Linked DNA regions of Callithrix jacchus. The protein of the gene in region 1 binds, or shares a complex with, the protein of each later gene. Links are inferred from orthologs where the notes say so. Each region holds a gene or a part of one and is shown in the gene's direction. Other genes may lie near its edges.

Evidence for each region.
Region 2: EXOSC3 (region 1) and EXOSC1 share a complex: the UniProt entries of both Homo sapiens proteins name them as parts of the RNA exosome core complex. The link is inferred for Callithrix jacchus from reciprocal best matches to the Homo sapiens genes EXOSC3 and EXOSC1.

The regions. Positions count from the first base shown.
Region 1 is NC_133502.1:144,772,563-144,777,570, reverse strand, and holds the start of EXOSC3 (exosome complex component RRP40), read left to right. Parts: upstream 1-2,025; 5' UTR 2,026-2,045; coding exon 2,046-2,375; intron 2,376-3,040; coding exon 3,041-3,190; intron 3,191-4,908; coding exon 4,909-5,008. UniProt on the Homo sapiens protein: Non-catalytic component of the RNA exosome complex which has 3'->5' exoribonuclease activity and participates in a multitude of cellular RNA processing and degradation events.
Region 2 is NC_133513.1:90,265,700-90,270,693, reverse strand, and holds the start of EXOSC1 (exosome complex component CSL4), read left to right. Parts: upstream 1-1,856; 5' UTR 1,857-1,876; coding exon 1,877-1,907; intron 1,908-2,012; coding exon 2,013-2,128; intron 2,129-4,591; coding exon 4,592-4,666; intron 4,667-4,994. Other genes in the region: palmitoyltransferase ZDHHC16, read right to left, coding at 382-521. UniProt on the Homo sapiens protein: Non-catalytic component of the RNA exosome complex which has 3'->5' exoribonuclease activity and participates in a multitude of cellular RNA processing and degradation events.

The DNA.
Region 1 (5,008 bases):
GTGCAGCCACTCTCTGGGCCCACTGCATTTACTCCATAGAACTTAGGGACAGGCCAACCAGTGCTACCATGCTGGTACTCCTACTGTATGCTGTGTTGAAAAACAAATTTCTTCATCTGATCCACCAAATCTCATCTACATTGGTACCAATGGAGCTGTGGCAGGTGAACCTGCTTTCTTGCTTAGTCATCTCCTTTGGAGGCTGGGGCTCTTCTCTAACAAAAGGTGCCATGACACAGGCACACACACAGTACAAAATGAGAATAAACATGAAAGATGTTTCCTTATTTGAGAAATGCCAATAAATGGCAAAGCTGTTGGAAACCAGAAAACCATGTAATTTTGAGTATTTAAAATTGGTTCTGTATTGTGATACACCAAGTCCAAACTTGAATGTTATTCCACATAGGAATCTAGCCAACAGAATGTAGTTCAGATTTGGGGAATGATGGTAAGGAAACTATATTTTATGGAATTGCTAACACATTTAAAACAGTAGTTAATAAGAAAAAAGTGTGTTCTGGGCCGGGCATGGCAGCGCACGCCTGTAATCCCAGCACTTCGGGTGGCGGAGGCGGGCGGTCATTTGAGGTCAGGAGTTCGAGACCAGCCCGGCCAACATGGTGAAACCCCATCTCCACTAAAAATACAAAAATTAGCCAGTTGTGGTGGTGCATGCCTGTAATTCCAGCTACTCAAGAGGCTAAGGCAGGAGAATCGCTTGAACTTGGGAGGCGGAGGTTGCAGTGAGCCAAGATCGCGCCACTACACTTCAGTCTGGGTGGCAGAGCGAGACTTTGTCTCAAAAAAACCCAAAACAAAACAGAAAAAAAAAAAAAAAACAGAGTACTTAAATATCAAGGGACCTGGTTACACTCCGAATGGGGAGGCATAGGCCAGAGGCACTGGAAAGGGGAGCAGCCTCGACTGCTTTGGCTCCAAACCCGCAAGCCTGACAGAGAACCGGGCGTAATCCACCTCGCGATCAGCAGGGAAACACAAGCGCCGGCGGAGGGCAAAGCCTCCTCCTTATTCCCCAATCGTTGCACTTTTCCCACTTTTATAACCAGAGAGGAAGCACGAGTTGCTCGAAAATGTGAACCGTGACCCATGGGACCCTAGGACCAACCCGCGCGCCCTCGAGGGCTTGAAGCCGGGTTTCAAACACTCGTTCGCGGCTTCGGGCTCCCACCTAACAGCGGACGAATTCCCGCCGCCCAGCACCGGCTGCTAGCTCTCGGCAGGGCGCAAGACCCCGAGGCGGCGAAGCACCGACGCAGCTGCGCACGGCCAGGTAAGCTGGCTGCGGTTCCTCGCGCCCCGCCCGCTGTGGGCGTGTCAGGGTGGGTGGTGCTCAGGAGTGGCCCAGCCCCGGCCCTCGGGTCGCGAGAAAACTTTCCATCCCGGCCTCAGCTGTTTCATCTGCTGACCTGCTAGAGCGCTACGCCGCGCGTCATGTGCGGCCTCTGCTAGCTCTGATCCGAGTTTCTTCCAAAGACTTCACTACCGACGTGGGGTGAATGAAGGACAGTTCAGAGAACATTTCCCCACCTGCCTCTTTGCCTGGCCCGAATGTGAGGTCCTTGAGCGCCCTTCAGCCGTGCTGTTGATCCTGCCAACACTGAGGCAGGCAGGGTCACCCAATACTTCTGGAGTGGGGAAGAGAAAAGCACAATTAATACTGTCTCTGCCACAGGAGCTCCCATTTTTGCCAGGGAAACTAACCTGGAAGTGGGAGCCCCTTTTATTTGTTGGCCTTCTATTACACCTAGCGGGGAAAATGGCTTGCCAAATTTGGAGGGTGTGTTGAAGATGATCTGTCTCAATCCTAAAAAACATAAAAGTTCGGCCGGGCGCGGTGGCTCACGCCTGTAAGATAGATGGCTGGCTACAGCCACCTCGGACGGGCACCTGTGAGCTGACGGCAACGAAGCTTCATAAACTGGTCAACTCAACCGACCACTACTGCCGGAACCGGAAAGTCATCAAGGGCGGGTGCGGAAGCGGAAGGCGAATACCGGAAACGGTGTTTGCGGGCGTCCGCAATGGCTGAAGGTGTATCAGTAGTTGCTGAATCTCTCGCGGGCGGCGGGGCGCGCGTTGCGCGCTCAGTACTAGGTCAGGTGGTGCTCCCGGGTGAGGAGCTGCTCCTGCCGGAACAGGAGGACGCGGAAGGCCCTGGCGGTGCAGGGGAGCGACCGTTGAGCCTGAATGCTGGAGCTTGCTCGCGGGTGCGCGTTATTTGCGGCCCGGGCTTGCGGCGCTGTGGGGACCGCCTGCTGGTCACCAAGTGCGGCCGCCTCCGTCACAAAGAGCCCGGCGGTGGCGGCGGCGGCGGCGGCGGCGTTTACTGGGTGGACTCTCAGCAGAAGCGGGTAAGCTGGGACTCCGGAGTGGTAGCCCTGCTTTAAGAAGACCTCCCAAAAGAAGAAAGGATGGGACACTGAAGCCCTCCTTGTTCAGGCACCTAGAGCCCCTAGTACCACCGTAGTCTTGTGCCCACTTTTCATGTCCTTTAGAGGGTCCGTGAACAATAGGAACATACCCTGAGAAGGGCGACCAGGAGAGAAAAACGTTTGGAGACCGTTAGTCATGATTATAGTCTTCAAAACCCCAAAGGTCAGGGAGCAGCAGACTTTCCCTTTGGAGTCTCAGAGGGCAGGACCAGGCTGAATGAGTGGATGTCAAGGGGAGTTAATTTCTCCTAGGACAGATAAGAACTTTCATACAGAAAAAAAAATGTCTAACTATGGAATGGGCTTCCTTGGTTGTAAGGATTCCTTTGCCACTGGATTTATGCTACAAAGCTAGGGACTTACTCTTTGGGGTGCTGAAGAAATACGGGGTTTGGGCTCAATTAACAGACTACCAGAAGCTGCAAACCCGACACTTTATGTGATTTTCTTTTACCAAAAGCGGCATACGATCAAATTTCTTTCTCTTTAATGACAATAAGGTAACCACAAAAGACTTGCTGAAGGTATCTTCCAATGGTATGTTGTTATTTATGACTGTTTTCTCATTCTGTTTCCTTTTGTAGTATGTTCCAGTGAAAGGAGACCATGTGATTGGCATAGTGACAGCTAAATCTGGAGATATATTCAAAGTTGATGTTGGAGGGAGTGAGCCGGCTTCTTTGTCTTACTTGTCATTTGAAGGTGCAACTAAAAGAAACAGACCAAATGTGCAGGTAATGATGGGAGCCTTTGGTTTCAAAGCAAGAAAAACATCCATTCCCTTGAAGGACTCATATCTCCAGAAGGCTACCTGAATTGTCTCCAAAGCATGACCTAGATTTCTGTGCATGCAATTGCCCCAGGCTCCAAGAGTTTCTTCAGATGCTCCAGGACCAGAGCCACATACTTACTTTACATTGACTACATTGTTCTTAGCATGTTTCATTTCTACTGAGTTATCTGTCATCTCTGTTATGTGTTATGTCCACATCCTCTGGACAAGGAAGTCTTCTGTAGGCTTAGAGGAGGGAAAAGTAGTGCGCATTTTGGCATTATCAGCTATCCATCCATCCTGGCTGTAGATCCTAGGAGCTGAGAGAGGAGTGATATTATTGCCTTGGGTTTTCAGATTGGGCTTTTCAGGTAGCATAGCCACACTCTTGTCTACCCCAGCCCGACATTTAGTGATTTCTTTGCTGCTTCTCATTCACTTCTCATGCATATTTAGTTGCCTAACCCTATTTTGATCCTATTTGATTCCATCTCTGATCTTTGGTATGTCCATCCCTTTATCTCCACTTTGCAAGTTCAGGCTTTAGCTCCGTCTTGACTGGACTCAGTCACATTAATCCTTGCCTCCACATTTTTACCTTACCATCCAGGGTTTTGAGAGCAGACATCCTCACAGTCACTTTCTGGAAAAGAAAAAACAAGATTATCCAAAATCTACAGAATTCCTTGGCATTACACTTCAGGTGTCTTTTCCTTATCCCTAATTATATCCTTCATGCAGCCCTACTTGAATCACACCAAAAACCACTAAACTCAATTTCCTGCCCTTATTTCTTTGCACATGCTGTTCCCTCTGGATTGCACTATTCCTTCTCAGCCTGTGGAACACATTCTCATCTTTTAGACCTAGGCTAAACACAACCACCTCTCTAAAGCCATCCCCAGTTGTCACTTTTCTCCTATCTTTTCTCTAGCACTTACTGGATTTAGTATATGTACCTCCCAACTGCCCTCCAAGACCAAATGCTTCTGAAAATCGGAGAATGTTTTCTTCCTCTATAGTTTACATAGTCACCAACAAACAGTAGGTACTTAACACATTTTGTTGAGTAAACCGAGTTCACTCTCCATTTCCTCAGTTTCATCACTTTAAAGTTTAGCTCTATGAGGTTTTTAAGTAATCTTGCAGGGAGAAGTGTCAGTGAATTATTTTGTTTTGCTTTGAATAATTCGCATGCTGTGAGTTCCTTCCTCTCTCTGTAAATCTGTAATTCTCTAGGGTGGTGTCACCTAATACATCTTTCCATAGTGATGCTGTTTTATGTCTCTACTGATTAGTATGATAGCCACTAGCTGTTGAGCACCTGAAATGTGGCTAATGCAACTCAGGAAATTAATTTTAAGTATCTAATTTTAATTAAATGTGAGTTCAGATAATTAGCTACCTACCATATTGGACAGTGCAACCCTAGAGGTGTTCTCTGGCCTTCAGATGGCTCTTCCTCTGTGATTTCCTGGTTGGTGAAAGGGAATGATACATGCGTTCCTTTTTTTCACAAGACTCAACTCCAAAGTGACTGTAGAAATCCTGTAGTGTAGTCAGTCCCTTAGCCACAGAACTGTAGGTGGCTGGCATTGATGGCTGTGGGAAAGAACCAATAGCAGCACCTGTAGAGTAGTTTGCTGAGAGGTAATGAACTGGTTTTTAATATCATTATAGGTTGGAGATCTCATCTATGGCCAATTTGTGGTTGCTAATAAAGACATGGAACCAGAGATGGTCTGTATTGACAGCTGTGGACGAGCCAATGGAATGGGTG
Region 2 (4,994 bases), on another chromosome or scaffold:
GGGAGAATCACTTGAACCTGAGAGGTGGAGGTTGTGGAGAGTCAGATCATGCCATTGCACTCCAGCCTGGGCAAGAGGGACAAAATTCCATCTCAAAAAAAAAATAAGAAGAAAAATAAAAAACTCCTAAATGCATAGATACAGATTTAGGTGAACAAAGTCTGAGGCTAGGGCCTCTCCCCTTTAGCTAATGGGGTAGGGGATGCCAGGAAAATGATATATGTAGTAAGTGGGCTACAACTGAACACATAGACTTTTCATCTCAGGACACTGAGGTAAAGCAAAATTCAGAAAGATGTGTGGGGGGAAGAAGGGCAAAGTGTAGCCTCACTACCACCCCAAGCAGAAGCCCCGAGTACTGTGATCCCTCAGAGTAGTCACCACAGGCCATAGTCATGATCTGCCACCAGACTGGAGGAGACTACAGGCCACAGCCTCCCTTCTTCCCATGGCTCTAAGTCACCATCTGTTTCCCAAGGGGAAAGTCGACTGAGGGAACAGGGACACACGGCAAACGCCATCAGAAGTCAGGTGAACAACTGAGATCAAAGACGCTGCTCTTAGGATGTTTGCAATTCCAAGTAGGAGATACCAGACATCAATGAAGAGTAGCATTTTATTCATGTGCAGATCTCCCTTCTGGGCTAACACGCTGAGAAGAAAAAGAATAGCAACTTTATTTTGGGGCTGCTCATCTTTTCATGAGGGGCCCACACAACCAGAGCTCGACTTTTTCAACCTGAGAAAGCTCACTGAAGTAGGGATGGGGGGCCGTGAAGAGGATCAGAACGCAGGACTGAAAGCTGCGGTTTAAAAAACCGGGAAAAGGACCAGGCGCGGTGGCTCACGCCTGTTATCCTAACACCTTGGGAGGCCGAGGCGGGTGGATCACCTGAGACCAAGAGTTCGGGACCAGGCTGGCCAACAAGGTGAAACCCTGTCTCTAAGTACAAAAATTAGCCAGGCACGGTGACACACGCCTGTAATCCCAGCTGCTTGGGAGGCTGAGGCAGAACTGTTTGAACCCAGGGGGCGTAGATTTCAGTGAGCCGAGATCACGCCACTACACTCCAGCCTGGCGACAGAGCGAGACCCCGTATATATTTAAAAAAACAAACAAACAAACAGGAAAAGGTTTTATTTCTCAATGAGAGCCACGAGGTGAAACTGCGACGGTCTGTAAGTCAAAAACCGTGGGTTCCAGTTTGGGCTCTATCTTAACTATCTTCAAGATTTTGGACAAGCCAAACCCTGTCTCTGAATCTGAGGTTCCCTATCTGTGAAATGGAGGGGGTCGCTTGACCTCCTTCCTTCCGGCTCTATGCCTAACGGTTGCTCGGAAGGTGTGCTCCGGCGGAGGAAGACACGGCCCCGCAGGGCGGGGCGGGGAGAGAGCAGGAACCCGGACTCAAGACAAGGCCTCAGGGCAGTGCCCGACCCAAAAAAAGGGACTAGGATTGGGAGCAAGGGCCGAGGCTTCGCCCTTACCTGCCGCCTGCCGACTCCCCAGTCAGCCAAACCGAGCCCCGCAGCCTCTGCCGCCGCTCACTGCCACCCCTTCTGACTCGGCGCCCCGGCCGGGCCGGGCTCAATCCAACCCACCATGGCACGCAGCCCGCAGCGCCAGCCAGCGCAACCGGACCCGCCGCCAGCCCATCCTCAACCACAGGCGCAGTCGCAAGCGTGGAGCTCTGAAGTTCCGCCCCCGGATTTGTCCCGGGGTAATCTGGGAAATTGAGTTTACCCGCAAGGAGGCGCTCCTACAGATCACGTGATAAAGAACACCAATTGACGCAAGTCTTACTGCGGAACTGTGCCTGGGTTTGGCCAATGAGAAGTCGACTTCGTTTCCATCCGGGTTTGGACAGCGGCAATCATGGCGCCACCCGTCAGATACTGCATTCCCGGTAAGAGAGCGCTTCCCGTAGAGTCCTGGAAAGAGGTCGAAGCTGGAAGGCTGGACGGCCTATAGCTTCTGGGGGCCAGTGACTGATAGAGCATTTTTTCTGCAGGCGAACGTCTGTGTAACTTGGAGGAGGGCAGCCCGGGCAGTGGCACCTACACCCGCCACGGTTACATCTTTTCGTCGCTTGCCGGCTGCCTGATGAAGAGCAGCGAGAACGGCGCGGTAAAGGGAGCGGCTTGCCGTCTCCTCTCTCTCTTTTCACTTAGGCTTTCATTAAGTTCCAGTCCTTAGGCATGGCCACTGCGGACGTGTCTTTAGTGCCTCACCGGTACAACCTTGGTCTTAGTTTCTTCTAGCCGTGATCGCCGCCGTTGTGCACTTGGACACCACAAACTAGTTGTGTTGATCTCGCTTGGTTGTGCTGCTGACTCTTGGGGAGGGAGGTTGGGACAAAAGCAGATGTGAACTCAGTAACCCAGCCCAGCCCAGCAGTGAGTTGCATACTGTATGAATGTCGCTTATCTCTCCGGCTTTATCTTGCGCCACTATCTCCACCTCACTGACGCAATCTAGTCATACTGTCTTTTCTGTTTTTAAAATTTATAATCACAGTCTCTGCTTGCCCTTTTTTAAAAAATTTATAACATACTAGCTTCTCTCAATGTCGCTAAGGTGCCAAGCTTTCTCCTGCTACAGAGCCTTTGTAACATTCATCTATCTGGAACGCTTCTGTCTTCCTAGGCCCATTTAATTCCTACCTCCTTTAGATAGCTTCTGTACTATCAACTTCTCAGAGAAGCCCTTCTGGACCCACTAATTGAGGAAAGGGGTTTTGTGGGGTGTTTTGTTTTTGTTTGTTTTGTTTAAGACTCACAAAGACCTCTGTTCCTTTTATTCCAAGCATTTATGTCAGCATATGATTAGAAACTCAGGTATATGATTCCCACCAGACTTCTCCACTGCTTGAATCTAAGTTCCATGAAAGCAGGCCCTACCACCATACATTCAGTATCTAGCACAAGGCAGCTCCTCAATAAATGTTTGTTGAATGCATAATACCAAACTTTCTAGTTTTAGAAATTGATCGGGCTGGGCGCGGTGGCTCAAGCCTCTAATCCCAGCACTTTGGGAGGCCGAGGCGGGTGAATCACGAGGTCAAGAGATCGAGACCATCCTGGTCAACATGGTGAAACCCCGTCTCTACTAAAAAGTACAAAAAATTAGCTGGGCATGGTGGCGCATGTCTGTAATCCCAGCTACTCAGGAGGCTGAGGCAGGAGAATTGCCTGAATCCAGGAGGCGGAGGTTGCAGTGAACCGAGATAGCGCCATTGCACTTTAGCCCCTGGGTAACACAAGCGAAACTCCGTCTCAAAAAAAAAAAAATCAGAAATTGATCTAGGATTAGCTCAGGATCGCATAAGCAATATTTGAAGGAGCACAATAGAGGATTCAGAATTAGAACACATAGGTTCTAGCTAACTAGACCTTGATTCTGCTTTGAGTAAGTAAATTAAGCTGTCTGATTCAAGGGGCTTTCTATTCAGTCATTCTTGGGAATGTCCTTAACAGTCCTGAGTTTCTTCACTTCACAGATACCATCTGAGTGTTTTCATGTGTCAGGCACAGCGCTGACTTGGTTTCTGCTATCAAAGGACACAGACACAAATTGTAAAATAAATGCTTAAATTGTATATGGTTACATATTTGGTGACTGCTTAAAAGAATATTACAGGGCACCTTGAAAACATGTAACAACCAAACCCACCCTAGTCAGCAGAAGTGACATTTAAGCTGAATCATCTAAAGAGTAAGTAAGAGTTGGGTGGGTGGAGAGAGTGTAGTTCTGGTAGAAAGAACGGGTTGAAGAGAGATCCAAAAGTGGGAAGAATTTAGTAAGTCAGAGAAACTGAAAGAAGGCCAGGAGAGCTGAAGCATCATGACCAAGGGAGAGATTGATAAAAGATGAGGTTCAAACTATCTGTCTTACACCAACAGCCAATACCATGCTCAAAGAGCAAATGCAGCTATTCACTTAAAATAGAAGAAAACAAGCATGGCCACTATTATGTAACATTTTTGTGGGAATTTCAGCCAGGCGGGGGCTCAAGCCTGTAATCCCAGCACTTTGGGAGGCCGAGGCGGGTGGATCACGAGGTCAAGAGATCGAGACCATCCTGGTCAACATGGTGAAACCCCGTCTCTACTAAAAATACAAAAAATTAGCTGGGCATGTTGGCGCGTGCCTGTAATCCCAGCTACTCAGGAGGCTGAGGCAGGAGAATCACTTGTACTCAGGAGGCGGAGGTGGCAGTGAGCCGAGATCGTGCCACTGGACTCCAGCCTGGGCAACAAGAGTGAAACTCCATCTCAAAAAAAAAAAAGAAAAAAATTATCCATGATTATAGGCAGTATATAGTTGTATACCAAGAAATTCCAAGAGAATCACCAAAAAACTTACTAGAACTCATCTAGAATAGTGAGATTTATGTCTTAGCAGCATTCTGTAACCTCTTTTTCCTACTATTTCCTAAAGTTTCTAATGTCTTCTGCTCTGGGCTATAAATGAATCTGTACTCCAACTCTCAACTGTGTACTAAGGCATTCCTATGTTACTCTCAAGCCACAAATGCCTTGACCCAAGGGTTAGCCAGGACATTTCAGTTTTTTGTTGTTCCCTCTGTAGCTTCCTGTGGTGTCTGTAATGAGAGAAACAGAGTCCCAATTACTGCCAGATGTGGGAGCTATTGTAACCTGTAAGGTAAGACGGTTCTAACCTCCATGCTTTGAATGCCCTTTCAATACTGAAATCATGATCATGCTAGAACTGCAGTGTCCAGTATGATAGCCACAAGCTACATATGGCTACTTAAACAGTATTAAAAATTTATTTCTGGCTGGGTGCAGTGGCTCATACTGCATCTAGCACTTTCAGAGGCCAAGGCAGGAGGATTGCTTCAGCCTAGAGTTCAAGACTATCCTGGGAAACAGTGAAACCTCATCTCTACAAAAAGAATCAAAATTAGTCAGGCATGGTAGCACATGCCTGTGGTCCTAACTACTTGGGAGGCTGAGGCAGGAGGATCACT